Linked DNA regions of Rattus norvegicus. The protein of the gene in region 2 purifies or fractionates together with the protein of the main gene of each other region. This does not show direct contact. Links are inferred from orthologs where the notes say so. Each region holds a gene or a part of one and is shown on either strand. Other genes may lie near its edges. The genes, in order: Nasp, Asf1a, Tonsl, Chaf1a, Ubn1, Ubn2 and Ipo4.

Region 1 (4,204 bases), on a different chromosome or scaffold from region 2:
CTTGCCTAGCAACCGCAAGGCCCTGCCTGGGTTCAGTCCCCAGCTCCGGAAAAAAAAAAAAAGAAAAAGAAAAAAAAAAAAAAGTGTGTCTGAAGACCAAACATAGTGATGCACAACTTTAATCCTAGCATTTGGGAGGCCGAGGCAAGTAGATCTTTGTGAGTTCCAGGTCTACCTGGTCTACATAGTGAATTCCAGGACAGCCAAGATATAGAGAAATGCTCTCTCAAAAACAAAAAAAAGTATGTGTAGATTTTTTTTTATAAGTAGGCATGTAATTTTCTGTAAATACCCATCCAGGAAGCTGGGAATTACTTCACCAATAGCTAGAGTTTAACTGAACATAAATGAATACATGAAAACTTTACTTTTAAAGTTTGTTTATACAGTCGTTTAAAAAAAAAAGCTGGAGGCTGGGTGGGGGCAGTACACTCCTCTTTAACCCTAAGCACTTGGGAGACCAAAGCAGTCAGAAACTCTTCTCTTGAGTTCCAAGGCAGCCAGGACTACACAGAGAAACGCTGTCTAGAAAAACTGAGAAAAGGGGCAGGGGAAAAGCTAAAGATCTAATCCAAGATACTATGCTAGGTAAGCACTCCCAAACTGTAAAGTATTGGGGGGAAAAAAAGGATCTCCGATGTAATACAAACAGCTGTTCAGAAAGCACCATAAATGGATTCATTCTGTAATATTATCTACAGAATTCCCAAACTTAATCTACTCTGGTCCTTAAAAAAAAAAAAAAAAAAAAAAGTTGGGCTGGAGAGATAGCTCAGTGGTTAAGAGAACTGACTGCTCTTCCACAGGTCCAGAGTTCAATTCCCAGCACACACATGGTGGCTCACAACCATCTGTAATGGGACCTGATGCCCTCTTCTGGTGTGTCTGAAGACAGCTATAGTGTGTGTACTCATATACATTAAATATAAAAATTTAAAAAAAATCAATGAAGAGGAAGTAGAGTGGAATCTAAAATCAAAACTGCACTTCCCAAATGGTTGAGTGGTTTGAGAACCACTGATTTTCAAGAACGTCTAGGAAAGGAACCAATGTGATAGGGTAAGCAAAGACACTATGATCTCTGATAAAATTGTACTGAGTGAAATGTCAACTAAAACATAAACCTATAGAAAAAAAACCACTCAGATATCTCACAGACACCTTTACTTTTACCCAAAGCAATACTTCTAAATGCTCAAAAAACAGAAAAAAATAGAATCAAGTACCTAAAAAAGGCATGGGAAATTGGAAAATCGAACCTATTGTACGGAAAATACTCTTTTCTCAAACTGATGGAGGTGTCTCTGCACTAGGCGAAATAGTTCATGTTTGATTAAGCCCTCAAATTAGGTCATTCCTCCTTTGGGATCCTTTCGCCTAACAAACTCATCTAGCAAGTAAACACTACTTAGACTGAAAGCTCCACGCAGCCTTTACCTTAGACGCTACACAAGTGAAATGTCTCTTGAAGCTACAAAATCTCCGACTCAGTGAAAACCTAAAGAACCACGACACTTCTCTGCAAAGGATGAGAGTTACAAAGCTTCAGTCCCGTAACCACCCTCAGATTACTGTAAACCTGGTAGGAGTATAGAATAAAATTCGCTGCGCCCAACCGCAGTGGCAAAAGCAGCCTTAACTCCAAACAATGGAGTTTTCCCGCCTCCTAAAAGCCCCGCCCACTCCTAAGAGCCAAAAGCAAGACCGCCGGAGTGCAAAGCCCCGCCCTCTGAGAGGCCCCACCCACCCGAGTCCCCAGTTCCAAGCCTTCACCCTCGTGTGGCTTTTTTTTTTCTTTTGGCGCCAAATCTGTTGGCCAATTTCTAGGTTCGTCCACAGACTCTCTACAGAGGCGCACCCTAGGAATGGGCGGCCGGTAGAGGTTCAAGAACCGACTGGAGCCGGGCCCCGCCTACCTACCGGCAACCTCGGGCCGGGGGTGGAAGAAAAGGGGCCGGCGATGGAGACAGCCACCGCTGCCCCCGGCAAGATGGCGGCCGTGAAAAGCCGGGCAGGGGGCGCCAGCCACCCGCCGTTAACGCTAGTGCGCCAGCTCTTCGCAAGTGGGACTTCTCCACAAACCAACCCTCTCCGAACGCCCGCAGTTGTTTAGGGGAAGGCAGCTGTCCCACCCACCAGTCCGTCCCGCCCGCGAAGCCAAGTCCACCAGCTCTCCCTGAGGACTGGCCCATGCCTCAAGCTCGCCACAGTCCCGCTTACTTGTCAGCGGAAACCAGTTCCGCGGCGATGGCAGCAGTGGCTGTAGACTCTGTGGCCATCGTTCCCCTGAGGTGGTGGGCCAGTGGGCAGTATACTGCCTGCGAAGAAAACGAGAGAATTCCAGACAACGATGACTTACTCAGGTAGAGAAAATGGCAGATTGGAGACCCCGCGCGGTTGAGGCCCTCTTATATACCAGAGCCCCTTGCCCCGCCCATCCACTTCCGGATCCTCCCCCTCGTGTTTAAAGGGCTAGCATTCAACACCTTTCTGTCACAAGGACACACAGCCCCTTATCCCTTCCCGTTTGGTTATCTTCCCGCCCTGGCCCGTTTTTCCTTAAAAAAGAAAAAAGAAAAAGAAAGTAAGATAGAAAGGAAAAAGAAAACAAAAATCAAACAACTTCCTGCTTCTGTGGCTAGTCGTGTTAGAAGCACCAAAATCTCGGTACTACTTCTGAATGGGAGCCAGCCTAGAGATTCCACAATTAAGTGGAACCAGTGAGTCTCTGCGACTGTGGAAAAAGTAGTCCCGAGGGTTTCTTTCTGACGGGGATACCCGAGAAGGTGACAGGTCTTCCCTATGCCCTCTCAGTCTTAACGGATGGAAACGCAAGAGCTGGGCACGAGTACAGCAGCAACGGCTAGAACTGACCAGAGAGACGCGTGGCTCTGGGCCTCAGCAACTACTGACGAAGGAAGATGCTGCTCTAGGATTGGCTACAGATAAACTAACGCGCTTGATTCAAAACTCAGAGGAGCAAAGGGATGTGAGTGTTTAGATCCACCCCCTCTGACTGATCCAATCCGTTGATGCCATCATCTTACTCTACCCATTTCCAAGTTGTTGATCTAAATCCTATACTTAAAACACTTTAGTGGTTGGGGATTTAGTTCAGTGGTAGAGCACTTACCCAGCAAGCACAAGGCCCTGGGTTGGGTCCTCAGCTCCAGGGGAAAAAAAAGACATAAAACACTTTAAACATTTTAGCTGTCTATTTTTTTTCTTTCATATATATTAGACAGGGACTCACAGTATATCCCTGGCTAGCCTGAAACTTACTATTTAGACTGGCTAACCTCTAACCCACAGAAATCTGCCTGACTGATTGCAAATGCTGGGATTACAGGTGACCACTACCACACACATATTGTTTTACAACCGTTTATAACTCCAGTTCCAGGGCATTCAATCAATCCCTTCCTCTGACCTCCAGAAGCACTAGGCATACACACAATACACATACATGTATGCAAGTAAACACTCATACACATTAAATAAAAGTAAGTGTGGCTGGAAAGTTACTTTAGAAGTTAAGAGCACTTGTTATTTTTGCAAGGAACCGTGTTTCAATTCCCAGGACCCGCAAGTAGGCTCACCACTTCGTTAGGCACCAGGCACATGCATGATGTGGTACACAGATATGAATGTGAGTAAAGCATTTACTCACACAAAATGAAAAAAATCTAAAAATGAATAAATAGAAATAATTGGATTCTTTTAAAAAATAACTTTTTTTGGAGCATGGTGGCACACATCTTTATAATTTATTGTATTTGATGTACATTGGTATCTTGCCTACACGTATGTCTGTGTGAGGGTGTCTAATCCCTTGGAACGGGAATTACAGATAGTTTGTGAGCTGTCATATTCTCCAAGAATAGCCAGTGCTCTTTAACAGATAAGCCGTCTCTTCAGCCCTAGCACACACATTTAATCTTAGCACTCAGGAGGCAGAGGCAGATTGGTCTCCCTGAGTTCAAACCCAGCATGGTTTACAGAGCTGGTTCCAGGATAGCCAGGGATACACAGAGAAACCGAATAACCATAATAACAATAATAATGACTTGTTTAAAAATCCAGTGTGCTCACAAACATCTTCTTCAGCATTACAAAGGCAGAGACTGTTGAGGCAGCCTAATCTCTATGGGGAATTCCAGGACAGCCAAGGCTTCTCGGAGTGAGATCTTGCCTCAAAAAAAAA
Region 2 (4,074 bases):
TTGGGTCTGAATGTGATGGAATGCTTATTTATCAAGCAGTTTCACTACTAGAGTTATGAGCTGAAAATTATTTATTTATTTTGAAAATTAGCTTTTCCATTTAACCGTGGTAATCCCAGGCAGAAAGTATCTCCACGTGTGGCCGGAGGGATGCTACCGAGGAAACTGTCAGTTAACTAATTATTGGGAAACTCTGTGGCCTAGTAGAAAATACACAGCCTTTGCAATCAAAGCAGGCCTGATCTTTCAAAGGATAAAGCCACAGGCTCAATTTTGATGCACTGCCAGTATTAAACCCTAGAAATTGCAGGAAGGCCAATTAAACTTGTATAGGCTTGGTGATCAAGTATAATAAAGCCCCTACTTAAAATCACTTTTAAAAAATGTTAAGTATGGTGTGTGTGTGTGTAGGCACTATGTGGAGGTCAGAGGACAACTGGTTGGAGTCAGTTCTCTCCATGACGCAGGGGATTGCCAGGTAGTTGGTATGGGTAGTAGCTTTACTGGGCGAGCCATCTCACTAGCCTTTAAGTCCCACTTTTTAATGTGCTCTACTCCTAGACATAAGTCCTATAAAAGAAATAACTGTATTTAGCGCGAACACAACTTACGTCTTCTTCTGAAGCAAAACTACAAGGCAGCTTTTAAAAGCAAAGTTAAAATATTTCAAGACTACTGACAAATAATAAATGGTGGCTAATTGGTACACTGGAGGTAGACACAAATCGTAAACTCAAAATTCCCTATAGAGTATTTCGTACTTGGATCAGTAACTTTAAAAGTCACAGTACAACAAAAGTATGGACCCTAGAAAAGAGCTTCTGCAAGATAAATCAACTCCCATTTTCTTACTCCACAGAGCCTCTAGATGGAGTATACAGGAATGGCAGCTTTTTCAAGGATTCCTTTGCAGCTTTGGAATGACTCAGCTTAAAATACCTTAAAATAATGGTGCCCTGGTTTGAAGTGTGCTAGAGGAAGGCATATTCTTGACTTGAGTAATACCACTGTTGTGAAAGGATCCCAGTCTAAAATGGAACCTTGTTTGGTTTCTGCGGATGGCTGGTTTCGAACTATCCAGTGTGGTGACTGTAACAATATCCTAGACCTTTCTTGTACAACGTGGACCTAAAATGGAGGCCACCATTAGTGAAACACCTGTGGTGTAAAGAACTTCTGATGCTTGGAACACTGCACTGAGTAGAGGATGGACTCAGCCATGATCCTACTCTGTTTATTTGCTCATTTGTATGTAAATTGGCAGTTCAAAAAAGGAAAAGGAAAATCAGTGTTGGAAATGGGTCTGATGTGGAAATGCTATTACATTTCAAATGGAGAAATGAGCAAAACACCCTTACACTCCATTAATCATCACAGTCCATTTAGAGACTATTATATCTTAATCTTTAGTCAGTCTTCAGGATATGTCCCACTCACTAGATGTATGTGCATTATACTTTATATACTTATTAAAAACAGGGTACATTTTAAGTGATGGTGATGGTTAGCCAAAGGAGTTGAGGGAAAGGGCTGTGACTTCCTTTTTACAATTTTTAAAGGTTTGTTGTAATGGCTTTTATAATTAAAGTTAACATCCTACGTGAAGAGATTATAGCTTTTAAATTAAAAGAGAAATTCTTTTCGTCGTAATTCGGATAATAATCTTAAAGGCGTTTTGTCGAAATACTTCCAAGTCCCAAGATGTCCTCCCAGTTAACTAAAATTTAACGCCAATGAAGTTAAACTTTTTGTCTCAAATGTTGAAAATGAAGCACTGATTTTAATAAAATCTAAGAAAAGGAATAAGAAGCTCACATTTTAGCTTTCTAAATTCTGTATTACCTCACTATTTCGCATTTTGTAAACCGTAAAATGTACTTCAGAAAGGACTGCCTTCTATTTTCCTATTTCTCTATCTGCCTGGACGTGGAGTTATTTTAATTGCATCTTCTTCACACGTTCTGGAGAGTCTTTCAGACTTTCTAGAAGCCAGAGATGAAGTGCCTGGAATTGGTTAAGCGCCCTGCTTTTGCTCTCGGGTGGGATGGAACTTCCTAACCCTTCACCGTTTCTCTCCGAGAGGTCTCCGTTCCCCGGGAGAGGCGTCCGCGCCGGTCCGGAGGCGGCGCGCAGCATCCCGGGCGCCCGCGGAGAGCACGGCGGCCCCCGGGAGCCAGGCGCCGAGGGGCCGAGCCCAGCGCCCGCCTTCCGCGCTGGTTGGTGGAGGAAGCCGGAGAGCGGCGCGAGGACAGCCTCGGCGGGGCTCGGGCGGGAAGGCGCGGGCCCGTTCGCCCCTGGCGGCCCGGAGCAGGCGTCGTGCCGCCGGGTAAGATGGCTCCGCTCCCCGCCGGGCCGCGGGGCCCTGGGGCCGCTGAGGCCGCACGACCCCCGCCAGTGCCGCGCGAGCCGGGTCCGCCAAGCGCCGCCCGCTGCAGACAAAGCTGACAACATGGCTCCCTCCGCCCGGCAAGTTGCTCGCAAGTTGCGGCGCGGCCGGCGTCCCTCAACTTCAAGTTTCCCTCGCATGGCCGCCCTCCCGCCGGCCGCGGCCCACCCCGCGCGAGGCCGGGCTGGGAAACTTTAACGTCCGCCACCGCAACTGACAGCCTGGCGCCACTCGCTCACCTTCAGACAGGTCCTCGATGCACTCGAAGGTGATCTCGAACTGGAACGGGTTGTAGAAAGGCGACGGGTTATCCAGCACCACTACATTGTTCACCTGAACCTTTGCCATATTTTGAAGAAAACACAAACAATGGGGCCGGGGCTGGCGGCACCACAGAGTCCCGCGCGCGGCCGCTCCGAGAGCGCAGACCCCCGCCCCGGCGCGGCGCGGCCCGACGTCGTGCAGCTGCGACTTGAGAAACTTTTTTTTCCTTTTTATTTACACGGCAGCACTCCACAGTGTTTTGCAGCTTTCCTATTTCACTAAACTACAGCCCATTCTGCTCTGATAACTAGCAGCGTTGCCCGCGATTGGCTGCCCCCGAGCTCTGACCCTCCTCCTCCAGCGAGGGCCGCGGCGGCGAGCAAGATGGGCTCCCGCTCGCGGAACGGACGGGAAACTTTCACTGCGGCTCCACCTGCTGGTGCGGACCAGGACAAAGGCGCAGAACAAAGTGAGTGGAATAGGGGCTGGGAGGCCCGCGCGGAGGCCGCCGCCGGCGGGGGGAGGAGGCGGCGCAGGCCCCGCCCCCTCCCGCCGGGCCCGCGCCGCACGTCGGGCGTGGCCGCGGCGGGACGGAGGGGCGGAGCCCGCGAGGGGGCGGGGCCTGCGGCCGTGGCGGGAGGGCGCGATCTGGCCCCGCGTGTTCGCAGCGTGGGCCTTGGGGTTCTCCGGGTTTCTCCCCGCCTTGAACACTTCCCCATAGGTGCGGGCAGTTTAGCGGGCTCTGCTGGATTTAGCGGATAAGATGCTCTTTGCCGCACTCCTCAGGCCCAGCTGTCTGCTTTTCGTTATGGTAGAGAACAGGGAGAAGGGCTGGTTGCAGTGGGAATAAATTGGATTTTATAGCCCATGTCAGCTCGAAAGGAGCAGGCCATTTTGGAATTCAAGTTCTTGGGCACGATAGTGCGGTGAAATAGATACAAAACGAGGGCGGGTGATTTTCACACACACACACACACACACACACACACACACACACACACACACACGGAGGCAGACCGGAAAAAAATAAATATGCGATCTTCGGCTGTACGTTAGATTTGTTCCCATTTCAGATCTGAATAGATGTAGAACTAAAATGGGGAAAACGTGATCGGTTACAGCGAGGTTTCCGTCGTTTTCGGGATGGGGTGGGGGAGGGGCAGAGAAAGAAGTTAAAAGTCGAAAAAATGGAAGTGTCAGAAGACCTAAGGACAACAAATGTATTAGTGGAATATAAGGAGAAAACCCAGATAATATGACATTTGCTCTTCAAGAGATTTATAACAAACACCCATAAATTAAAAATTGCAGCACCACAAATTCTGAGGAGCCCTTCCATGCCTTTGATGCCTGTGATGCCTGTGAAACCATTTCAGGGCTGACGTGAGGAAATGTTGCTTGTTTATGGTACTTAGCCACTCTGG
Region 3 (4,240 bases), on a different chromosome or scaffold from region 2:
GAAGATCATTGCCCTCAGCCTCTTGCAGCTGCTGCTGCAGCCGGACCACGGCCAATACTGCCAAAAAGAATCTCGAGTGAGGGGGGTGTCATACAGCATAGGGCCCCAAGCACAGCCTACCCCCACCAGCCATATTCCCTCAGGCAGCGGCCTGAGAGCCAGGGAAATGGCTCAGCGTGACCATTGGTCAGAGTAGGTAGTGGGGATATTGACCACTAGGAACTTCTGAAGGTTAGAAGGGTAAGTATGCCTGGCAGCCTAGAACAGTGCTTGGTCTGAAGATCTGAACACTAGTGACTGTCACTGTCAGTCTCTGGGACACAGTATGACACCTGTGCTCCCATTTGCTAATGCTGTCTTGGGACAAAGGTCCAGTCAGTTTCTTCCACACCCTCTAGTGTCCTCCACACCCTGTGCAGCAGGCTTAGACAAAAGCAAGGGTCTTCAACTGACAGAAATCTACCCTTGCTGTCAGAGGCTCATGCCCACATTGCCACATCCCCAAGAAGCTGGGTGTCTCCTGCTGGGAGGGCAGAGCCCTTCTCCGACCCCTAGGGCTCTCAGTTCAGGGACCCCATGCAGCCTCACCATACTTGAGACTCTGACAGATAGCCACTCTCTGGTTAGGCTTCTGAGAGCCCAACCTATAGGCCTTCTTCAGGGCTCGTTTGGCAGCCAGAAAGTCCCCCAGATCTTGGAGCACCTAGAAAGAGGGGGAAAAACTAAGACCTGTAGACTCACTAAGGCCCAGGCCCAAGCGGACAATGAAAGGAGAGGTACCTGAGACACTAGCATGCAACATTCGCTTTCCATGAATCTCATCTTCATGGCACGTGCACATTCCCGGGCCCCCTCCAAGCAGCGCATGGCCTGAGAGTGCTGCCCTCCGCGCCAGTGGATGGCACCCAGGTTGTATCGGGCCCGGAACAGATCTTCATACAGATGGTTCTGCCTGTGGAGGATGAGGTAACAGGAGCTCAGAGTGTCCAGTGTCCACCAGCCTTGGAACAGTGGACCCCGAAATGCCTATGATATTGTTGATGTTCAACCAGTTACGGCTACAGACACCACACAGACCCTGGGCTCTACCATGCTATGGTTTCAGGCCTATATCTTCTTCTCCTCAGCCTGCAGCATAAATGTACATGGCAAACGAACAACTTAGGCAAGCTGCCCTCTCAGAAGGATCCCAGGCGACCACCCGCTCCCTCCTCCTCACTCAGCGAGAAAGATGCTCTTTTTGAAGTAGTTGTTGCACTGGGCTGTCTGCTGCAGGCTCTCACAGGTGAGGCCCAGATTGAGGTAGAGACGGGTCCTCATCTCACTCAGTTCCCGCTGGGTCAGCATCCCTGGAAAGCAAGAGCTTTAGGGACTCAATTGCCTCCTCTGGGTATGGGGTTTTCCCTTTATCCCACCCTTTTTCCATCTCTTATTGAGTGAGCCAGGAGTCTGCTGCAGATAGAGTATACAGGGAAGGGGCAGATGTCTCACAGGTTCAAGCTGGTGAGCAACTCAGGCCTTGGAAAGGGAGGACCTAGAATGCAGGATATGGGGAGGGAAAATCCAGGGAAAGGGCACCCACCCTCTAGTTTCTCATCCACAATAGCCAAACTCTTCTCAAAGGCAGCCTGTGCCTGCAGCAAGGAATCTCTTGATTGGCAGTGGTCATATACATCCAGATGGGTGCGGCCAATGGTGGCCCAGGCTCTCTGCAATTCAGTGTGGTTGGACAGGGAACCAGCTAGATCCAGGTAGAGATGCTGGTGCTAGTGTAGAAAAAAAAAGCGTGGGCTGGAGAGATGGCTCAGTGGTTAAGAGCACGGATTGTTCTTCCAGAGGTCCTGAGTTCAAATCCCAGCAACCACACGTGGCTCACAACCATCTGTAATGGGATCCGACAGCCACAGTGTACTTATATATAATAAATAAATCTTTAAAAAAAAGAGAGAAGAAAAAGCATTTGAAGTACCAGAGGAAGCTACTCTTATGAAAGAGAACCTTCTGTTTCCCAAAATTCAACAGAGTTGGCTACACCCATGTCCTATCTTTCCTGTGCAAAGGACTGTCTATGTAGCAGTGTTGTCATGGGAGACCACTAAGGGCTGCCTGGAGTGTTGCTTGCCATAGCAGTGGGTCCCGAGTCTTCTCTTCAGTTGTCACAAACTCATTCATCCCCGAGTCAAGAGCCGGGCAGCGCCCCGAGTAAGCATAAGGGTGTGACTGCCTGCCGTGTCAGTTGTCGCTGAATACTATTTGTATACTAGTCCTCACTCCTCAACAAGAAGTGAAGGCTCTGTACCTTCAGAGCAGCAGAGTAGTTCTCCATTTCAGCCAGCCGCTCTCCGATCTTGCGGTGGGCCACAGCGCAGCCTAGGGTGTCCTGGACACTCTCTAGCAGATGTAGCTCCTGCTGGTGCTCCTCTAAAGCTTCCTGGAAGCGACCTGCCGGAAGAGGGGCGTGGGGGGCTCAAGGTGCGCCATCACTCAGTCAGTCCCCTGCCGCCAGCCCTCCCTCTCACCACTCCGGCTCACCGTGGCTAGCTAGCAGCTCCCCCAGCTGGTGGCAGCAGACCGCCTCCTCGCACAGCTGTCCATTCCTCTGGGCCCTGGCCTTCGCCTTGCTCAGCTCTGCCGGAAGAGAGAATCAAGTCTAACCCAGGACCCGACCCACACCCTGCGTCCCGACAAGTACGCCCCAGAATACTCACGGCGAAGCTCCTGTTCCAGCGTCATATTCACACAGCCACCGCCGCCGCCGCCGCCGCCGCGAAAATCTGGACTTCCCGCGCTTCTCTGAGCCCACGCCCATTACCTCGTTCCACCCCTAACACGCAGGGCCCACCCAGTCTTCTGAGCGCATGCTTAACTCCGCCCCTCCGGTGGCCCAAGTGCTGTAGACCCCAGGCCTCCTGGGATTTGTAGTCCGACGAGCTCCAGCATGGCGGGATCAGAGAGCCCAAGGTCTGTTGGTTGGGATCTGGGCTTTCAAAGCTGCTGGCGGAGAATGCAGGTACCCAGGCAGGCAGTGTCCTTATTTACAGACCCCTTCGGGTGAGTTACCCGGACTACAGACAACGTGTGGGCACTAACCCTGCTGCCCTGTAGCCTACCTGACTTTGTTTTGTTTTAAGAGTAGACGAGCATGGTGGCATACGCCTTTAATCCCAACATTCAGGAGACTGAGACAGGCAGATGTCTAAATTTGAGGCCAGCGTGGTCTCAGAGCGAATTAATCCCGGAAAGCCAATGCTACACACACACACACACACACACACACACACACACACACACACACACACACACACACAGACACACACAGAGCGAGAGAGAGAGAGAGAGAGAGAGAGAGAGAGAGAGAGAGAGAGAAAGAGAGATTTTTTTAATTTCACGTATGTGTTTTACCTATATGTGTGTATGTGCACCTTCCGTGTGCCTAGAGGCTGAAGACACTTGAAGGGACGGGAGTTACAGTTTGTTACGAGTCATCGTGTGGGTGCTGGGAACCGAACTTGGGTCCTCTGCAAGAGTAGTAAATGCTCTTAACTACCGAGCCAACTTTCCAGCTCTCAACCTGCCTTTTTATTACAGGGGTCCTGTAATGCTACCCCCTTTCCTCTAGAAATTAAAGCACATACCACCTATTCTACCTACATTTATGAAAAAAACTTTAAAAAGCAAAACAGGTGTTCATATAGAACTGGCTGGACTCAGAGATCCCCCTGCCTTTGTCTCCTTTGTGCTGTGCTCAAAGGCCTGTATCACCACACTACACTTGTAAGTTTTACCTTTAAAGTTGTAAATTATTATCTTGTTGTATGGGTATTTTGTCTGTGTACCATTTGTGTGCCTAGTGTCGTCCATGGAGGCCAGAAGGCATCCCTAGAAAGGGGTGGGGAGGTCTGGAGGAGTTGAGGAGTGGTGCTGGGGAATGGAGAGATGGCTTAGTGGTTAAGAGCATTGGCTACTCTTCCAGAGGAATGGGGTTCAATTTCCAGCACTCACATGGTAGTTCACAGATATCTGTAACTCCAGTTCCAGGGGATCTGATACCCTCCAACAACCATTCACAGAGGCCCAACACCAATGCGGAGACAAACAAACAAACAAACAAACAAACAAACAAATGTATGAGTAAAGAAATAAAACTGGTGGTACACACAGTCATGAACAACCATGTGGATGCTGAAAATCAAATCTGGCTTTTCCCAAAAAAAGCCTTGGCCAATACTCTTAACCACGG
Region 4 (3,500 bases), on a different chromosome or scaffold from region 2:
CCATCCTCACTGTTGCCAAGGAAGGTTGGCAAGGCACACTTCAAAGAAAGCTACTTGGCATCGGTTGGCTAAGAAGCCACACGCCTACTTCCCAGTGGCCCTGGGCCATGCCCGTGGTCAGCTGTGTGTGCCCTCATGTTCCTCCTAAGCAGTCGCTGCTCACTCTGAGCCACCAGTGTCCCCAGGTTTAGGACAGGGAGGGAGTGGCATTGCACTCTGGTCCAGGTCTCAAAACTGACTATATCATTCTGCTGTGGGTCCTACTAAAATTTCCAAGGGAGCCATGCCTAGGGGCTTATACCTGGAAGTCAAGCTCTTAGGAGCTGGAAGCAAAAAAATCACCATGAGTTCAAGAAAAGTGCAAGCCATCTGGTAACCAAGACCTGTCTTGTGTCACAATGACACTGACTCAAAAAAACCAAAACCAAAACCAAAACCAAACCAACAACAACAAAACCCAAAAAGTCAAGGGTAGGATAGCAAGACTGGGGTATGGCTGAGTGGTAAGCACTTGGCAGGTTCATGTACAACCTGAGTTTGTACCCAGCACCCAAGGCCCTGTCAGTTTTACATGCAGACAAGCTGCATGTGGACGGATACCCACACACAGGCTCTGCATACTTGTGACCTCATCAAGGACACCCTGATAGGAGCTGTTCCCGGACACTCCCGTACCCTACTTACTATGCTGGTCCCTCTTTTCCCTCCTGGAGGCCCTGGGCTCTGGCTCATCAGGGGATGTCACATCCAGCAGGCATGCAGTGAACTGCTGCAGCAGCTTCAAGTCGGAACCTGTGCAGTTGGCTGCCTCTGCCGCCCAAACACATCCCACCTGCACAGGCTGCAGCACGCGAAAGCGCTTGCTCTTGGCTAGGAGCTCATCCCACTCCTTGGCCTTCAGCTTCTGGCGTACTTTGTGGTTCTCTGGATCCGCACACTCCTGGCAGGATATGGAACAGACCCTTGTTTAATGCCCACGCTCCCTGGCACCGTGGCATGAGCTACAGAGGATGTGGCAGTGAAGGACAACTCTGAGAAGTCAGTTCACATCTTTAATCATATGATAAGGCAGGATATTTCAGTGGTTTTGCTTTGTCCAGCCTCACAGCCTCTTGACCTGGTTAATAGGCGACCAAATCCCCAACCCCAGAAACACCCCGATCAATGTGGCTTCCAGCAGGGCCTGAGCTGCCCAACATCATGGTCAGACAGTCTGACCTCAGTCATCCTATGCAGGTTCCCTAAACCTGCAACTAGGAGCTTGGGACCTACGGATACCACTCAAGCTCTCCACAGCCCCTTATGGGAGAGCTCACAGGGGCACAGGACCTTCTGGAACTGTGGTGGTTTGTTAGAACTCTAGGGGAAATCTACAGACCATGCAGCAGAGAAAGCCCATGCCTGCTCACCCAGAGCCTAAATCAAAGCAGCTGATCACCTCAACACCCTATAATCAGTTCAGAATGGAGCCCTCACCTCAGTTACGCCTTCATCTTCAGACAGGTACCCATGGGGCACAAAGAACCCATCGTCCTCATCTTCATCTTCCCCCACATCGTCATCTTCATCCTTGAAGAGAAAGACAAGAGCTTACAGCACACAGATATCAGAGTTGAAGGCCAGTCCAGTCCCACATATAAACACATACATCCATGCAGATGCTAAGGGGGCTACAGAGCCTGCCTAGTGCCCAACATTGGCTCAGGATGTCCCCTAGCTTAGCCTCCGCGTCACAGTAAATCTGTGTGCATCTACACTGGTGTCAGCAGCTGGGGAGCAAGGCAGAAACAGTACATGTGGGCAGAGGAAGCAGGGACTAGTAGGACTCAGTGTGGCTCCAACAGCCATGTTGCCTGGGGGCGCCGGGATGGCAAGCAGTCACTAGGCTAAGCAGGAGCAAAACAACCGGGTCAACAGCCCACCCCATATAAGAGTGTACGATGGCTTCTCCTGCAGTTGCTGTAGTTGCTGCTATTCATACTCAATGGGTTTACTTACCCCCTCACTGTGGGACAAAGACTCCCCAGGCTCCTCCTCTTCCCACTCATCGTCACTGTCTACCTCATAGTCTAAAAGCTTCTGGAGAGAGAATAAGGCATGAGCATCATGGTGAAACAGCACAGAACAGCCCACCCCCATGAGGAACCCCAATCCCAAGGCTCACTTTGTCCTGGACCCAGGGGTTACGGGGGCGGATGACTGCTGTCTTCTTATTCCATGTCCCCCAGTATGCTGGCCGGTGGTTCTCTGAGAACTGCAGGAGCTTCATTCGGCCAAACTTCTTCCTTTCAGGCACACCATCCACCTTGCTGCTCTCCACGATGACCACATCCCTGGTAATCAGACCATACTGTGTTCATGGCTGGCTGCACATGACCTGTCTGTTCAGAACTACTCAGGCCTGTTCCTCCTGCTGCACCCTGGGTGTGCAGGAAGGTGTGCCCCAGAGCCCCAGAACGTGTAAAGAGAGACACTCTGGGAGATGGTGACTCTAGGACTCAGCAGCATAGGGCAGCATGGGGCTCCATGCCAGACTCTTCTATGGTCTGGTGTGCCAGCTCTCACCTGTTCATGATGTCTGTGTCATGGCCACAGACCTGGGTGGGCCCAGATCTCAGGGGCAGTCGGCCCTTTAGGTCACTGAGGAAGGAGCTTGCCACGTTCTGCTGGTGTAGGAGCCGGTCCAGCTGATCGCACAGATCTTGATCCAAGGTAGCCCGGCACCGTGGAGCCAACACCATGTGTTCTTTGATTTCAAAGGGGGCAAACTTACCACAGGAGCCAGCCAGGGTCTGCAATAGGAAGAACTTAATGCACTGCCAGTAGGTGAGAAGCCATGCTAGCTCAGGTGCACTGCTGCCTGGTGGCCAAAGGGAGCTGCGTGGAAGCTGGAAGACTCCAGAGTCTTCCTTCTTCGGAGTGATAGGAATGCATTCCAAACAAAGCCACTTGAGAACCACCTCCACCTTGATAGCTTTAACCTTATTTATGGAGACCCAGCCTTATGTATAGCCTGGGTCAGCCTCAAACTCAGAAAATCTAAGCCTGCTGAGATGACAGGCATGGGCTGACACAGTTGTCTTCCAGATTTTTATTTTTTCCTTTTTTACAGTTTATTTACTTAGGGACTGGAAAGATGGCTCAGTAGTTAAGAAGCAATGCTGCTCTTCCAGAGGACACAGGCAAAACAGTCATACCAATAAAATCAAAAATCTTATAGAAAAGAGGAATACCTCCATTCATTTTGTTATGTGTATGTGTTGTGCCTCTTGGTCCCCACATTTTCAGAAATGTTTGTCAAACTCACTGAGCTCTGGAGTGAATTGAATGGTTAGTGAATTGACTGGGATGGGTGAAACAAGGGACAAGGAACAGCTCAGGCCCCAGGGACAGCATGTGGCAGAGTTCAGAGCCAGTTCCTTTGTTCTGGGTGAAAACACAATAAAGAGTGCCCAACAGGGATTGTGTCCAACCATATGCCCTGTCGGCTGGGCCACTCA
Region 5 (2,465 bases), on a different chromosome or scaffold from region 2:
GTGTGTTTTGTTCTCTCCCCTCCTGTTTCTCTCAGGTCTTCTGGCTGGCTTGCATTCCAGCCCACCCCACACAGCGCCTCTCCCACATGCTGCTGTGTCTACCCATGTCCCACAGAGTCTGCCAGGTAAATGCCAGATGGGCAGTGTGCCATGCACTCTGTGCACCATGCCCCTCCACCCATAGGTGCTTTGCTGCTGGCGCTGTTAGCCATCTCTGCCTCATCATCACTGTTTTGTATTTGCTTTGTCTTCTGAGGCTATGGCTTTTTAGGTTCCAGAATAATAAAAACCTATACTGTAAGAGGCTTTTCCTGGTTTCTTATCAGAATGGCCATTGGGTCAGACTTAGCCTGTGTGACCGTATATGGTGGAGCCTGAGCATGAAGCAGGTGTTCCAACCCTCAGTATGCATTTAAAGAAAAGAAAGGTAATGGTGTTTCTTGTCCAGAGGTTAACCAAGCGCTCTAGGGCCTTTATGGTGAAATGCTGCATATCTGGCAGGCATTGTCAGATGGTAGAGACTCTTTGAAGAGTGAAAATACCCGTAGAACACTGAGAGACTATAGGACATGATTGTAAGGGAAGGACCTCTTTATCTCTGAAGCTAGCACAGAGCCAAAACAGAAGCAGCTTTTAATCCTCCCTGGTGTAAACCTTCCTTGAAACATATTTGTAAGCACACCTGGAATGAGGTCACTTTCTCCTGACAGAATGGCGCTTTTAGAAGTAGGCAGAGCCCTGGGTACATTGTCAGCTTGAGAGCATGAGAACAGGGAATAGTTGCCACAGACAGGCATCTTGTAGTAGGTGGACTGACTTCATCCTGATTCCTGGATTCTGCATAGAGATACTTCATGAAATTCTGACTCAAGAACCAGAGGAGAACTTGATTTTGACCTAGTATTTTTAGCACTTTAGACCTGTTTCAACCAGGTCCCTGGGCTATCAGGAGAGGACTGAATTTAGGGAACATGGGGCTTGTATAAGGCAAGAGTCAGATGCAGACTCTAAGGATTCGTATCTTTGACTTGCTTATGGATGGTGTGGTCCACAACTCATTGTCTGCTTTAGGATCTGTTTGTGGGTTCCTTGCATCCATGTCTTAAAGCTGGGAACTCTGCTTGCCTAGCAAGCAAAAGGCCCTGGGTTCGGTCCCCACCTCCGAAAAAAAGAAAAGAAAAAAAAAAGCAAAAAAAAAAAAAAAAGCTGGGAACTCTGTAGTGAATGTCAGAGGCCTTGATAGGGTGAGGGTGAATTTGCATTTCCACAGAAGGAAATCTTTGAGCCTTCTTTGAGGAGCAAAGCCAGTAGCAGTAGTCAACTTCTTTGAAGAAGCAGTCACATCTGAGGACTTCCTCTACACGGGTGGGTGGCTGCCATTTGAGTGAGGTGCAATGTGGGTGACTCCCCAGCTATGGAGAGCCTGTGTACGGTGAGAATGAGATGGTGCCACCTCCACTTGCTTTGGAAATGGGCCTTTTTGAGAGAAAGAAAGTAGTTAAAGAGAGACTCTGGGTCTGTAAAATTTTTAGCAACAAAGGGGAGAGGGATAGAAAGGGAAAGAAAAAACATTTCTTGAACCATTCTTATGTCTCCTCCCTGATCTTCCAAAGCTATCAGGATGGTTAAGGATATGTAGTTCAGTGGTGAGCACTTGCCTAGCATGTATAAAGCCCGGTGTCCATTACCAGTACCTCAAGGAGAAAAAGAAAAACAAAACATTGGGGGCAATCAGAAGAGCAGCCACGTAAAATGGGTTAGCAGCGTGAGCTTCATTTTGAGCTATGCTACAGATGTGGGGCTCTGCAGGGCTGGCAGGGATACCCTGTATCTGGCAGTGAGCTGAGCCTTGGTTCTGCTCTGCTTTCCCTTCTGCGTGTATCTGATGCTGTTACCTTTGCCTTTGTACCTCTGGGATCTGAGTACATTTTGATGACAAGAGAATGAACATTGTCTGAATTGTGTATGGTCATCAGGCCTTGCAGGGGCCCGTGTCATGTTGCAGAGTGCCTGTTCTATAGATGTGCTCAGTGGCCCCTGCCAGAAAAGTGGTAGTGCTCATGCGTGATGCAGGATGCTGTGAGCAGCAATGCACACAGCTGCTATTGGGGGACATTTGCTGCTTGTGTTCCCTGTGAAGTGTGTTTATGCTGCCTTAAAGGCACTGGAGCACTGAAAGAATGATCTGATTTTGCTTATTCTTTTCCAGATACTTCACAGCTTCATGGGAAAGGGCCTGTTGTCCCGAGGAAATTGTGACCACGTTGGAGGATGGAATTGAATGGCATAGGTCTAGGAGGAAGCCCAACATGTATGTCTCTGATAACAGACATTTGCTGTGCTCTTCTTGCCCACTGCTTTTCTTCTGGAGCAGGCATGAGTCTGAAATGGAGCACTTCTTAGCACTTCAGATGGGCCTCCAACCAAGGGCAGCTTCTGCTGCTCACAAAGCACTTACTGACCTG
Region 6 (4,300 bases), on a different chromosome or scaffold from region 2:
TTGTGGAATTACAAACAAAAGATAAATGGTTGAATATATAGTGAGAAAATTGAACCAATAAATCCCTAAATTGATATTATCTATGAAGCAAACATAAAAATTAAACCCAACTCATATGTCTCATAGAATATAAAAGTATAGCCATGTACCAAACATTGCTTTAAAGGTCAAGGAAAGATCACATACACAACAGTAAATACCACAGAGCCTATACAGCAGGTTAAATGTAAGTAGGATATATCTAAAAACAGACTAAAACACCTACTCAGGTGTACAGGAAAGTGTACACCTTTGACTCCACTACTCAGGAGGCAGAGGCAGAGGGGTCTGAGTAGGAGACCTGGTCTACAAAGTGAATTCCAGGACACCAAATCCGGTTTCAAAGCAAAACAAAATCTAGGTTATTGTAGGTACTTTCTATTTGCACAACAACAAACCACAAAGTAGCATTATGTAATTTTTTTCTACCAAAAATGGCTTTTGTCTTGCTGTTTTATTATACCTGTGTGTGTGTGTGTGTGTGTGTGTGTGTGTGTGTGTGTACACAACTTGGACAAGATGGCTCTCTCCTTCCCCCATGTGGACGGAACTCAGGTCTCTAGGCTTGGCAGCAAGTGCCTTTATCTGCTGAGCCATTTTGTTGCCCAATTTTTGTTTTTTTGAGGCAGGTTCTCAGTATGTGGTCCTGAACTCTTCATCCTTCCACCCCAGCCTCCAGAGTGCTTAGGTCACAGGCTACCATACACATCTACAAAATGTTTTGCATCTGTAACTTATGCAAATTGTAAAAATTGTACACCTACTTATATTAATGAGTCAAGGATAATTCTTTTGAAAATGCTCCAATTTAATAGACAAAAATTATATTCATATTGCAAAAACAAAAAGAGTTATGGATGAATTGAGTCTACAGGACAAAATATACGTGAAAGTGACTAAAATGGTCTCTACCCCTAACGATTCAATTTCTCTGAAAACATTTAGTAATGATGGCCACACAATACTTGTAACTAGCCATCAAACGATTATCTGGCACAAAATGAACACAGATTAATGGTATTAGTCAATGTGAGACTTTTAACTAAAGAGTCCTTCACTGCAACAACAAAGATAGTTGAAAGGAACTAATGCATTCTGGAGTCCATTAGAAAGCCCAGTCTAATAAAGAGCATGGTCTCTAAACAAGAGGGCAATGCCTCTGTCTGTCTGCCTGCCTGCCTCTATCCGTCTCTCTCTCTCTCCCATCTCCCCCCCCCAAAGATCACCAACCCACAACAATAAAAATTACAGTCACCGACAAACCGCTGTCCTAATCCCCATTGTTCACCGGTTCCCTCAAAAGCATACCGATATATTTTCCTAATTTTTTTAAATTAAGAGCGAATGTTTTTTCCGTCATTCTCCACAAAACCACAACGGACAAACGCTCCCAATTCGAACTAATGAGAGCCACTCAAATAATATGACTGAACAGCCACCGAATAAGACAGGAGACCTTTCCATTCAAAGACAATATGCACAAACTCAACACACACAAAGCTAACAATATTTACCAACACAAGTGCAACCACATTACGAATCCACTTTTTCATTCCTAACGTGGAATCATTAGTTTCTGAAAATGTTTAATTTCTCTTAAATCCCCTTCAATCAAGGAAAATAAACCACCCGGCCACGAGCCCATCTCAGCAGCCCTGGCGCACGATACAGCTGGGTTGAGGAAGGATGAGGATGAGCCGAGAAGGGGTCACACAATCTCTCCGCTTCAGACCGGGGGGCGTGTCCCCCAAGGTTTTTTCGCTTCCCTTCTACCGGAACGACAGATGGAAGTGCCACAAGAAGCTAGCCGCACGGCTCGCAGGGCCTCGGGATTTGGTGTGGGGAACAGAAAGGAAAAGGAGGAAAAAGCTGAGGTTTCGAAAGGTGCACAGGAAAACCGGCTCGGCGCGGTGTGGAGGGGGCAGCCTCGGCCACCCAGGTTGGCCGAGCGGCGCAGCTCCCGCCCCGTCTAGCCGCCCGGCCCCCGCCACCCCACCCCCGGGGCGAGCGAAGTGCAGAGCAGCCCGGGCAGGCGGCGGGTCCGGAGGCGCCCGGGCTGTGGGGCGGCCGGGAGGGAGGGACCCTCTGTACCCGTTGTTCTCCGCACAGCAGCAGCTCCGGGTAGCTGAACTCCACGCAGCTTTCGTCCGTGGGGTCCTTGAGCACCAGCTCCAGGCGAACAGTCTCCTTCGGCGGTCGCGGGGGCGGCTCCGCCCGGGAAGCCGACTCCCGCGGAGGGGGAGTCTGCAGGGGCAGCGGCGGCGGCGGCGGCTCGGGCCGCGGGGGCTCGCGCTGCAGCGCCATGGGCGGCTCGGCGCGGCTGACCTCGCGCTGGGGGAGCGGCTTGTCGCGCGCCGGGGGCTGAGCGTCAGCGCGGGGGGCCGGCTCCGCCCGGGCCGGCTCGCGGTACGGCTGCGGCTCCAGTCGGGGGGGCTCGCGCTCTGCGCCCGCGAAGTCGGCCTCGCGCCGCCTCACCGGTGACAGGCTAATGAACGCGACTCTGCGCGGCTCCGCCATCCCCACTGTTCTGGCCCTCGGCGTTCGCTCGAGCCGGCTCTCGTCTCGACGCCGCACGGCGTGCCTGCCCGCCTTTCCTTCTGCTCTCCGTCACTTTTCTTCCCTCCAGCACCCTCAGCTGTCCCCGCGGACGCCACCGTGAGTGCGGACCAGGTCCCTGTCCCCGCTACTACGTTCTGATGGGCTCCACCACCATCGCCAGGGTCGCCGCAGCCGCCATGTTGGATCCCCCACATAAATAGAAGCAGGCCGCTGAGCGGGCGCATGCGCACACTAGAGACGCTCGCGTCCACAGTCGTGGCTGTTGCTCAGTTTTCCTCTTTTCCTCTCAACAGTCTGGAGGCCAGACAGCTCGGCGGAAATGACGTCACAAATAGGCCTGTCTCCGTGGCAACGGGGACGCTATGTATGCTTTGGTTTCAAAGGAGGGGTTTGGGGTTCCCGGAGTGATTTCCTCCTCTCGCCCGGAAACCGAGGCACGCTCGCGGATCCCTTAGGGTGAGCGTCGCGATGTGCCTGGGACCGACCCAGTCATGGCGCCGGGTCCCGCCCGACGTTGGCCTCTGGCTCTCGGCGTCGGGGAACAGGGTCGTCAACTGAGGATTCCTAGCGGACCCAGGAAAGGGGTGAGGGACTGGCGGCCCGTCTTCCCGGCCTGCCGGTCCGTTGCCCAGTCACCTGAGGTGTCCAGGGTAGAAAGGCGAAGACTAGACTCGCCCCAGACCCCTCCCGAAAGCGCCACGCTGCCTCCCACACTTCTCCGTAGTCGCTTTGCACATGGCGGTGAGACGCTTAGTGACGCGCCTCAGTTGAGAAATTGAACTGGCAAATGAACAGTTCTTGAAGACTCGAACGTCTTGGCAGCGTTTGGTGTTATTTTAGGGGACATGCTCTTGGGGGAAAATAAAATCATGGCTCATATTCTAAAAAGGAAAGAGCGTTGTTTTAAGCTTCGCTGGAGCACCCGTGGGAAACGAACTGGAATTCAGATTTTAAAGGACTAGAGCTATTGGCCCTTTAAATCTATTCAATAGAAAGTGAATTTGAGGGCTCCCTTTCCACATCCTCAAGGAAACTCACGCTTGTTAATTGCATTAACTAAATTAGATGTTGAAGAGCTGAGTCAAAGAGACGTCACAGACATTTTTAGTATTTGCTCTTCTATTCCTTACTAAAGGTGTATGCCAAGTGGTGAGGGAATGTTCATCCCAAAAGGTCCTGCTAGCTCTAAGCCAGGTGTGGAGATGTACGCCTTTAGCCTCATTTAGCCTCAGGAAGATACAGGCTGTTACATTTCAACACTGTCAACATTTAAAAAAAAAAAAAAAAAAAAAAAAAAAAAAAAAGCAGGTCAGCTAGCACTTCTTAATGAAAGTGGTGGCACTCTGGAGCCAGGCAGATTTCTTTGAGTTCAAGGCCAGCCTGTTCTACTTGGTGACTTCTAAGCCAGCCAGAGCTACATAGTGAGACCCTGTCTGAAAAAAACAAACTGGCAACAAGGGAAAAAAAATGATGAGGGGCTGGGGATTTAGCTCAGTGGTAGAGCGCTTACCTAGGAAGCGCAAGGCCCTGGGTTCGGTCCCCAGCTCCGAAAAAAAAGAACCAAAAAAAAAAAAAAAAATGAATTTCTTCTTTAAAACGCTGCAATATTTCCTTGACATATTTTATGTTTAACATTCCTTCCACTACTACTGATTTTGATTGGGGTCTCCTATTTTGGACTGAAGTGACCTTTCTGCTCACA
Region 7 (4,254 bases), on a different chromosome or scaffold from region 2:
ATCCCTTCTCTGCTTCCTGTCCATGTGAATGGTTCTGGCTTGCTTCCTGGTTGCTAAGACCTGAACCACTCTGTCTGGCCATTCCTTTCTCATCACAGTGAATGGAAATCTCTGAAGCCATGAAAACACTTCCTCCCCTCAAGGTGCTTCTCTGAGGTATCTGGTCGCAGTGATGATGAGGCCAATATATCACCTGCACAGCAAAGTGCTTGGGAGTCTCCCCCATCAGCCCAATCTCCAAGTCATCGTCGTCAGAATCTTGGTCTTCAGGATCCAGTTGGCCCAGGGGTGGCTCCGCAGCCATTATGGGGAAGAGGGCGTTCAGCAGGGGAGGCAGGAGGCGGTTCTTTAGCAAAGCCTAGAGGGGAGGACTATTCCTGAGTGTCTTCCCAGACGCTCCCAACCACAAGTAGCCCAATCAGAGATTCCCAATCTCCAGGCAGGAACAGAAGGCTGGGCCAGGATGTGAGCAGGACCAAGACTACAACTAATGGAGGAGGCAGCGGGGTAGGATAGCATCCCTACAGGGCACTTACCTTACTTTTGACTTTGACCAAGAAAGTGAGGCAGCAGAGAATACGTACACGAATTGCTTCGCCAAGGGCCACATTCTTAGCCACCTATACAGACACTCAAAAGAATCAAAAACAAGCAAGAAAGAGGCAAACCAAGAAGCAGGGGCAGCACCCACCTGAGGCTCACCTCCAGGCAAAACGTGAGGACCTCAGAGAGGTGGGGGGTGATGATGGGCAACTCTGTCTCCAGCATTTCATCCAGGGCCTCCAGGGCCTCACAGGCCTTTACCTGTAGACAGGTAAGCCACAGGGTACTCTCTCCTCTAGGGTGCCAGGGTGGGTGTGCCTCCATTTTCCTCCCAAAAGGAGATCCTCCCCACCCGTCCTTACCTCATCTAAGGGGATCAGAGTCCTCAATGCCGTAACGACTTTGGGCACCAACATCCGTGCGAGAGACTAGAAGACACAGGGTGAGCTTAATCACATAAAGACATGCAGCCTAACCAGAAAGTGGAGACTTCCTCATAGTACACCATCTAAGGATCCAGCTAAGCCCCGCTAACAGTACTCCCTCAATCCTCAGGAAGAACGACGGCAGAAACTTTAAAGCTTTAAAGCATCTTGGGCCAAAACTTCTAAAAGCGAGGGCATGAAACCAAGAGATACAGGCAGTGACGGGGTTAAGGTAGGACAGTCAATGCCTTACCACATCATCTGGTCTGAGGTAGCGGGCCAAGGCAGTCAGAGTGCGCAGGGAGTAGAAGAGCACTCCGGGGAAGCTCACTTCACTGAGCGTCTCAATCAGAAGCTGAAGGAGCTCTTGCTGGTGGGCGTGGAAGGCCTCCGGCTGAGAAGACACCACCACGCTCAGTAGCAGCAGTCCTACCTGTCCAGGAGTGGGGAGTGAGAAGAGCGCTTGTGCTCTATCCAGCCTCTCAGTCCCTCCTTCCTGCCAACAGGGCAACGACAGTACCTCTTTCTCAGGGCTGTGGGCACTGTGAGTGCTATGCTGAAGAAGGTTCATGAACTGAGGCCAGCCTTGCAGGCCTTCCTTGCGAAAAATGGTGGCTGAGAGCTGGGCCAAGCTGACACTCACATAATGCCTGCAAAGAGAAGATTCATTCATCCAGAAACACCCTTTACCACCCTTCCCTTGCAAACAATGCCTCAGGCCCAAGGAATGGCCAGAAGAGACGCCTCTAGGTATGTGCACACAGTCTTTCCTAGGGCAGACCCCAGAAGATGACAACTGCGGGCGATGAAGGGAGGGTGGTACTGTCATTTGTCTTGTTCAGGACCACTGGACAGGCTGAATTCAGTCTTGTTTTCCCGATCTGGGTTTAGCAGATCATTTTCACCCATTCTCAGAAACTTTAGTTTTCTCTACCTTCTTTTTGTTTTTTGGTTCTTTTTTTCGGAGCTGGGGACCGAACCCAGGGCCTTGCGCTTCCTAGGTAAGTACTCTACCACTGAGCTAAATCCCCAGCCCCCAGGCTCTACCTTCTAGGCCTGAAATAAGTCTCTGATCCCTAAGTCCCAGTCTGGGACTGAAAAGGTAGAAGCCCAGAGAGTTATCTCAGTCCCCTATCAGTTAGGACCCCCAAGAGAGGGTGCTCCACACTTACTCTGTCTCTTTCTGCAGTGCTGTCAGGACCAGAGACTTGAGGCTGGAAGACAGGTGGCAAAGGCTTGGTACTAGGCCTGTCAAAAAGTCTAGGCCCGGCCCCTCCCATCCTAAATTCAGCCCACCTCTCCCGCTGCTCAGGTGCCAAGCGACGCCAGCGATTGCTCAGCCTTCTGCGGGTCAGGACCGCTGCAAACTGGCGGATCTAGAGTGAGAAGAGGTGGCCAGCCAAATGAGAATCTCGAGCAGTCAGAAGATGAACAGATTAAGACCGCAGGGGGAGGAGGCTGGGGCGGGACCAGGGGCACGGTGAGGAATTTCAGAATGTCGGCAAGGAGGGGCAGGTAACTCGCCTGAGGGTCGGTCGCTGATGCTAGCAGGTCGCAGAGCGCTGGCAAGGCAGCAGGGTCTCGAAGGGCGGTCTGGAGCTGCTCCGTAGCCTGTTGGGAGGCTGGGGGGGTCAAGACCGGGCCTTTCCCACAGCCTCCCCATCCCCCTAGCCCTGTTGGGCCTGCCCATACCCGGCGGATGCGCTCGGTGTCGGGCATCAGCAGCTCCTTCAGGATCTGTTCCAGACCCGCAGGCTCCATGGCAGCTGCCGAGCCGCCGCCGCTACAGGGCCGGGTGGGGAGGGGGAGGAACGGCACGTGGAGACTCCGACAGCAACTTCCGGCGGAAAGGGCGTTACTCTGCGTCTCTCCAGTCGCCTGGGTGATTCAGCTTGCTTCCCTTCAAAAACTCCTGCTGAAAACTGGTGGCTGGCGTCAGTCTGGGCTTCGGTCTGGCTGAGCACTCTCTAAACCACAGAAACAGAGTCTCGGGAACGTGAGTTCCCTGTGCCGACAGTTCCCAGAGTCCAGAGTTTGTGTGGCAGTAGCGGACTCGGGTTTTCAAAGCAACTGTGCATTGACAACAGGTTTCAGGTTTCTATAACTTAGACCAAAATTTCCAACTACAGGATCCTTTTTCTTAATAAATTTTATTTTAATAATTGTAAAAAGAAAAAAAAATCAGGACCAAAACATAAGGCAACTTAAAAAGTTCAAATATATATATTTCTTATATAATAGAGATTTTTAATTTCCAGGTCCTCCCCAAAGAAGGGAGGTCCAAGGGGTAAAGAGGGAAGGAAGGCGACAATGCCATCACACAATTCGGTCAGAAGAGAAGCTATCCAGTGAAATCAATGGGGCATGATGAGAGCAGGAGAAGAGCCGTAGTTCTGTCACGCAGAACTCAGTCCATCTTGAGGTTAACATAGATATAACGGATGAACTTTAAGGAACTAAAAAAGGAGATGGTGCCCAGCATGAGGAAGAAGACATAACCAGTCAGTAAAGAGTAGCCAAAGAACTCTACTGTCTGTACTGCCCCTGACATGTTGGACCGCCGAGCATAGTAGAAAACTGAGTAGAGGAAGATGAAGAGGCCAGTGGAGCCAACGCTTAGCACAGATCGCCACCACCAGCGGTAATCTTCCCCAGACAGCTGGAAGTAGGTGAGCGCAATGGAGATGCAGGCCCCCACGCTCAGCAGGATGGCGAAGACAAAGAAGAGGATGCCGTACAGCGTGTACTGCTCTCGGCCCCAGACGGTGGCAAAGATGTAGTACAGCTCCACAGAGATGGCACTGTGAAGAGAACAGACAATACACACCATTAAAGCAGTGTACAGCCACAGCAGGCTGAGCCAAACCCAGCCACACCTTCCCACGTCACACCGTGGAGGTCAAGGCAGCGTGAGGAGCCTTCTGCCCACTAGTTTAGTTTAATAGTTGCTCTCATTTCATGAACATCGTCCCTTACAGGCTGAAAGCAGACATCTTAACTAGACCAGGTGACATACATCTAATACTACTATTTGGGAGGCTAAGGCAGGAGGATTGCCAAGTTCAAAGTCAATCCTGGTTACAAAATAATTTCAAGGCCAGCCTGGAAAATTTAAGACTGTCTCAAAAATGAAAGGTAAAAAATGGGCTGAGATGTGGCTCAGTGGTCCAGTGCTTGCCAAATGATGCTTGAGGCCCGAAGTACACTCCAGTAGTACAAAAGTACAAAACGGGATTGTTTAAAAGGTACATAGCTGGGCTGGGGATTTAGCTCAGTGGTAGAGCGC

The links.
Region 1: the proteins of Asf1a (region 2) and Nasp purify together in Homo sapiens (affinity purification with mass spectrometry; 6 studies listed by BioGRID and IntAct, counting the BioPlex papers as one, with this or other methods). This does not show direct contact. The link is inferred for Rattus norvegicus from reciprocal best matches to the Homo sapiens genes ASF1A and NASP.
Region 3: the proteins of Asf1a (region 2) and Tonsl purify together in Homo sapiens (affinity purification with mass spectrometry; 4 studies listed by BioGRID and IntAct, counting the BioPlex papers as one, with this or other methods). This does not show direct contact. The link is inferred for Rattus norvegicus from reciprocal best matches to the Homo sapiens genes ASF1A and TONSL.
Region 4: the proteins of Asf1a (region 2) and Chaf1a purify together in Homo sapiens (affinity purification with western blotting; 3 studies listed by BioGRID and IntAct, with this or other methods). This does not show direct contact. The link is inferred for Rattus norvegicus from reciprocal best matches to the Homo sapiens genes ASF1A and CHAF1A.
Region 5: the proteins of Asf1a (region 2) and Ubn1 purify together in Homo sapiens (affinity purification with mass spectrometry; 6 studies listed by BioGRID and IntAct, counting the BioPlex papers as one, with this or other methods). This does not show direct contact. The link is inferred for Rattus norvegicus from reciprocal best matches to the Homo sapiens genes ASF1A and UBN1.
Region 6: the proteins of Asf1a (region 2) and Ubn2 purify together in Homo sapiens (affinity purification with mass spectrometry; 3 studies listed by BioGRID and IntAct, counting the BioPlex papers as one, with this or other methods). This does not show direct contact. The link is inferred for Rattus norvegicus from reciprocal best matches to the Homo sapiens genes ASF1A and UBN2.
Region 7: the proteins of Asf1a (region 2) and Ipo4 purify together in Homo sapiens (affinity purification with mass spectrometry; 4 studies listed by BioGRID and IntAct, counting the BioPlex papers as one, with this or other methods). This does not show direct contact. The link is inferred for Rattus norvegicus from reciprocal best matches to the Homo sapiens genes ASF1A and IPO4.

The regions. Positions count from the first base shown.
Region 1 is NC_086023.1:135,316,792-135,320,995, forward strand, and holds the start of Nasp (nuclear autoantigenic sperm protein), read right to left. Parts: upstream 2,801-4,204; 5' UTR 2,675-2,800; exon of another isoform or gene 2,319-2,674; 5' UTR 2,280-2,318; coding exon 2,221-2,279; intron 1-2,220. UniProt on the Homo sapiens protein: Component of the histone chaperone network. Binds and stabilizes histone H3-H4 not bound to chromatin to maintain a soluble reservoir and modulate degradation by chaperone-mediated autophagy.
Region 2 is NC_086038.1:33,435,358-33,439,431, reverse strand, and holds the start of Asf1a (histone chaperone ASF1A), read right to left. Parts: upstream 2,801-4,074; 5' UTR 2,735-2,800; coding exon 2,626-2,734; intron 2,585-2,625; coding exon of another isoform or gene 2,045-2,584; intron 1,817-2,044; exon of another isoform or gene 925-1,816; coding exon of another isoform or gene 860-924; intron 1-859. Other genes in the region: Mcm9l (collagen alpha-2(I) chain-like), read left to right, coding at 2,045-2,584. UniProt on the Homo sapiens protein: Histone chaperone that facilitates histone deposition and histone exchange and removal during nucleosome assembly and disassembly.
Region 3 is NC_086025.1:110,238,598-110,242,837, forward strand, and holds the start of Tonsl (tonsoku-like protein), read right to left. Parts: upstream 2,801-4,240; 5' UTR 2,734-2,800; coding exon 2,709-2,733; intron 2,629-2,708; coding exon 2,533-2,628; intron 2,443-2,532; coding exon 2,300-2,442; intron 1,767-2,299; coding exon 1,583-1,766; intron 1,350-1,582; coding exon 1,220-1,349; intron 953-1,219; coding exon 781-952; intron 704-780; coding exon 589-703; intron 58-588; coding exon 1-57. UniProt on the Homo sapiens protein: Component of the MMS22L-TONSL complex, a complex that promotes homologous recombination-mediated repair of double-strand breaks (DSBs) at stalled or collapsed replication forks.
Region 4 is NC_086027.1:981,725-985,224, reverse strand, and holds part of Chaf1a (chromatin assembly factor 1 subunit A), read right to left. Parts: intron 2,793-3,500; coding exon 2,566-2,792; intron 2,334-2,565; coding exon 2,165-2,333; intron 2,080-2,164; coding exon 1,999-2,079; intron 1,570-1,998; coding exon 1,477-1,569; intron 941-1,476; coding exon 685-940; intron 1-684. UniProt on the Homo sapiens protein: Acts as a component of the histone chaperone complex chromatin assembly factor 1 (CAF-1), which assembles histone octamers onto DNA during replication and repair.
Region 5 is NC_086028.1:11,005,002-11,007,466, reverse strand, and holds part of Ubn1 (ubinuclein-1), read left to right. Parts: intron 1-35; coding exon 36-125; intron 126-2,209; coding exon 2,210-2,259; 3' UTR 2,260-2,465. UniProt on the Homo sapiens protein: Acts as a novel regulator of senescence. Involved in the formation of senescence-associated heterochromatin foci (SAHF), which represses expression of proliferation-promoting genes. Binds to proliferation-promoting genes.
Region 6 is NC_086022.1:68,131,761-68,136,060, reverse strand, and holds the start of Ubn2 (ubinuclein-2), read right to left. Parts: upstream 2,801-4,300; 5' UTR 2,557-2,800; coding exon 2,131-2,556; intron 2,109-2,130; exon of another isoform or gene 1,593-2,108; coding exon of another isoform or gene 1,554-1,592; intron 1-1,553.
Region 7 is NC_086033.1:33,094,442-33,098,695, forward strand, and holds the start of Ipo4 (importin-4), read right to left. Parts: upstream 2,801-4,254; 5' UTR 2,730-2,800; coding exon 2,661-2,729; intron 2,580-2,660; coding exon 2,493-2,579; intron 2,345-2,492; coding exon 2,265-2,344; intron 2,183-2,264; coding exon 2,141-2,182; intron 1,619-2,140; coding exon 1,489-1,618; intron 1,402-1,488; coding exon 1,222-1,401; intron 972-1,221; coding exon 906-971; intron 805-905; coding exon 703-804; intron 621-702; coding exon 537-620; intron 359-536; coding exon 194-358; intron 1-193. Other genes in the region: Tm9sf1 (transmembrane 9 superfamily member 1 isoform 1 precursor), read right to left, coding at 3,376-3,769. UniProt on the Homo sapiens protein: Nuclear transport receptor that mediates nuclear import of proteins, such as histones, RPS3A, TNP2 and VDR. Serves as receptor for nuclear localization signals (NLS) in cargo substrates.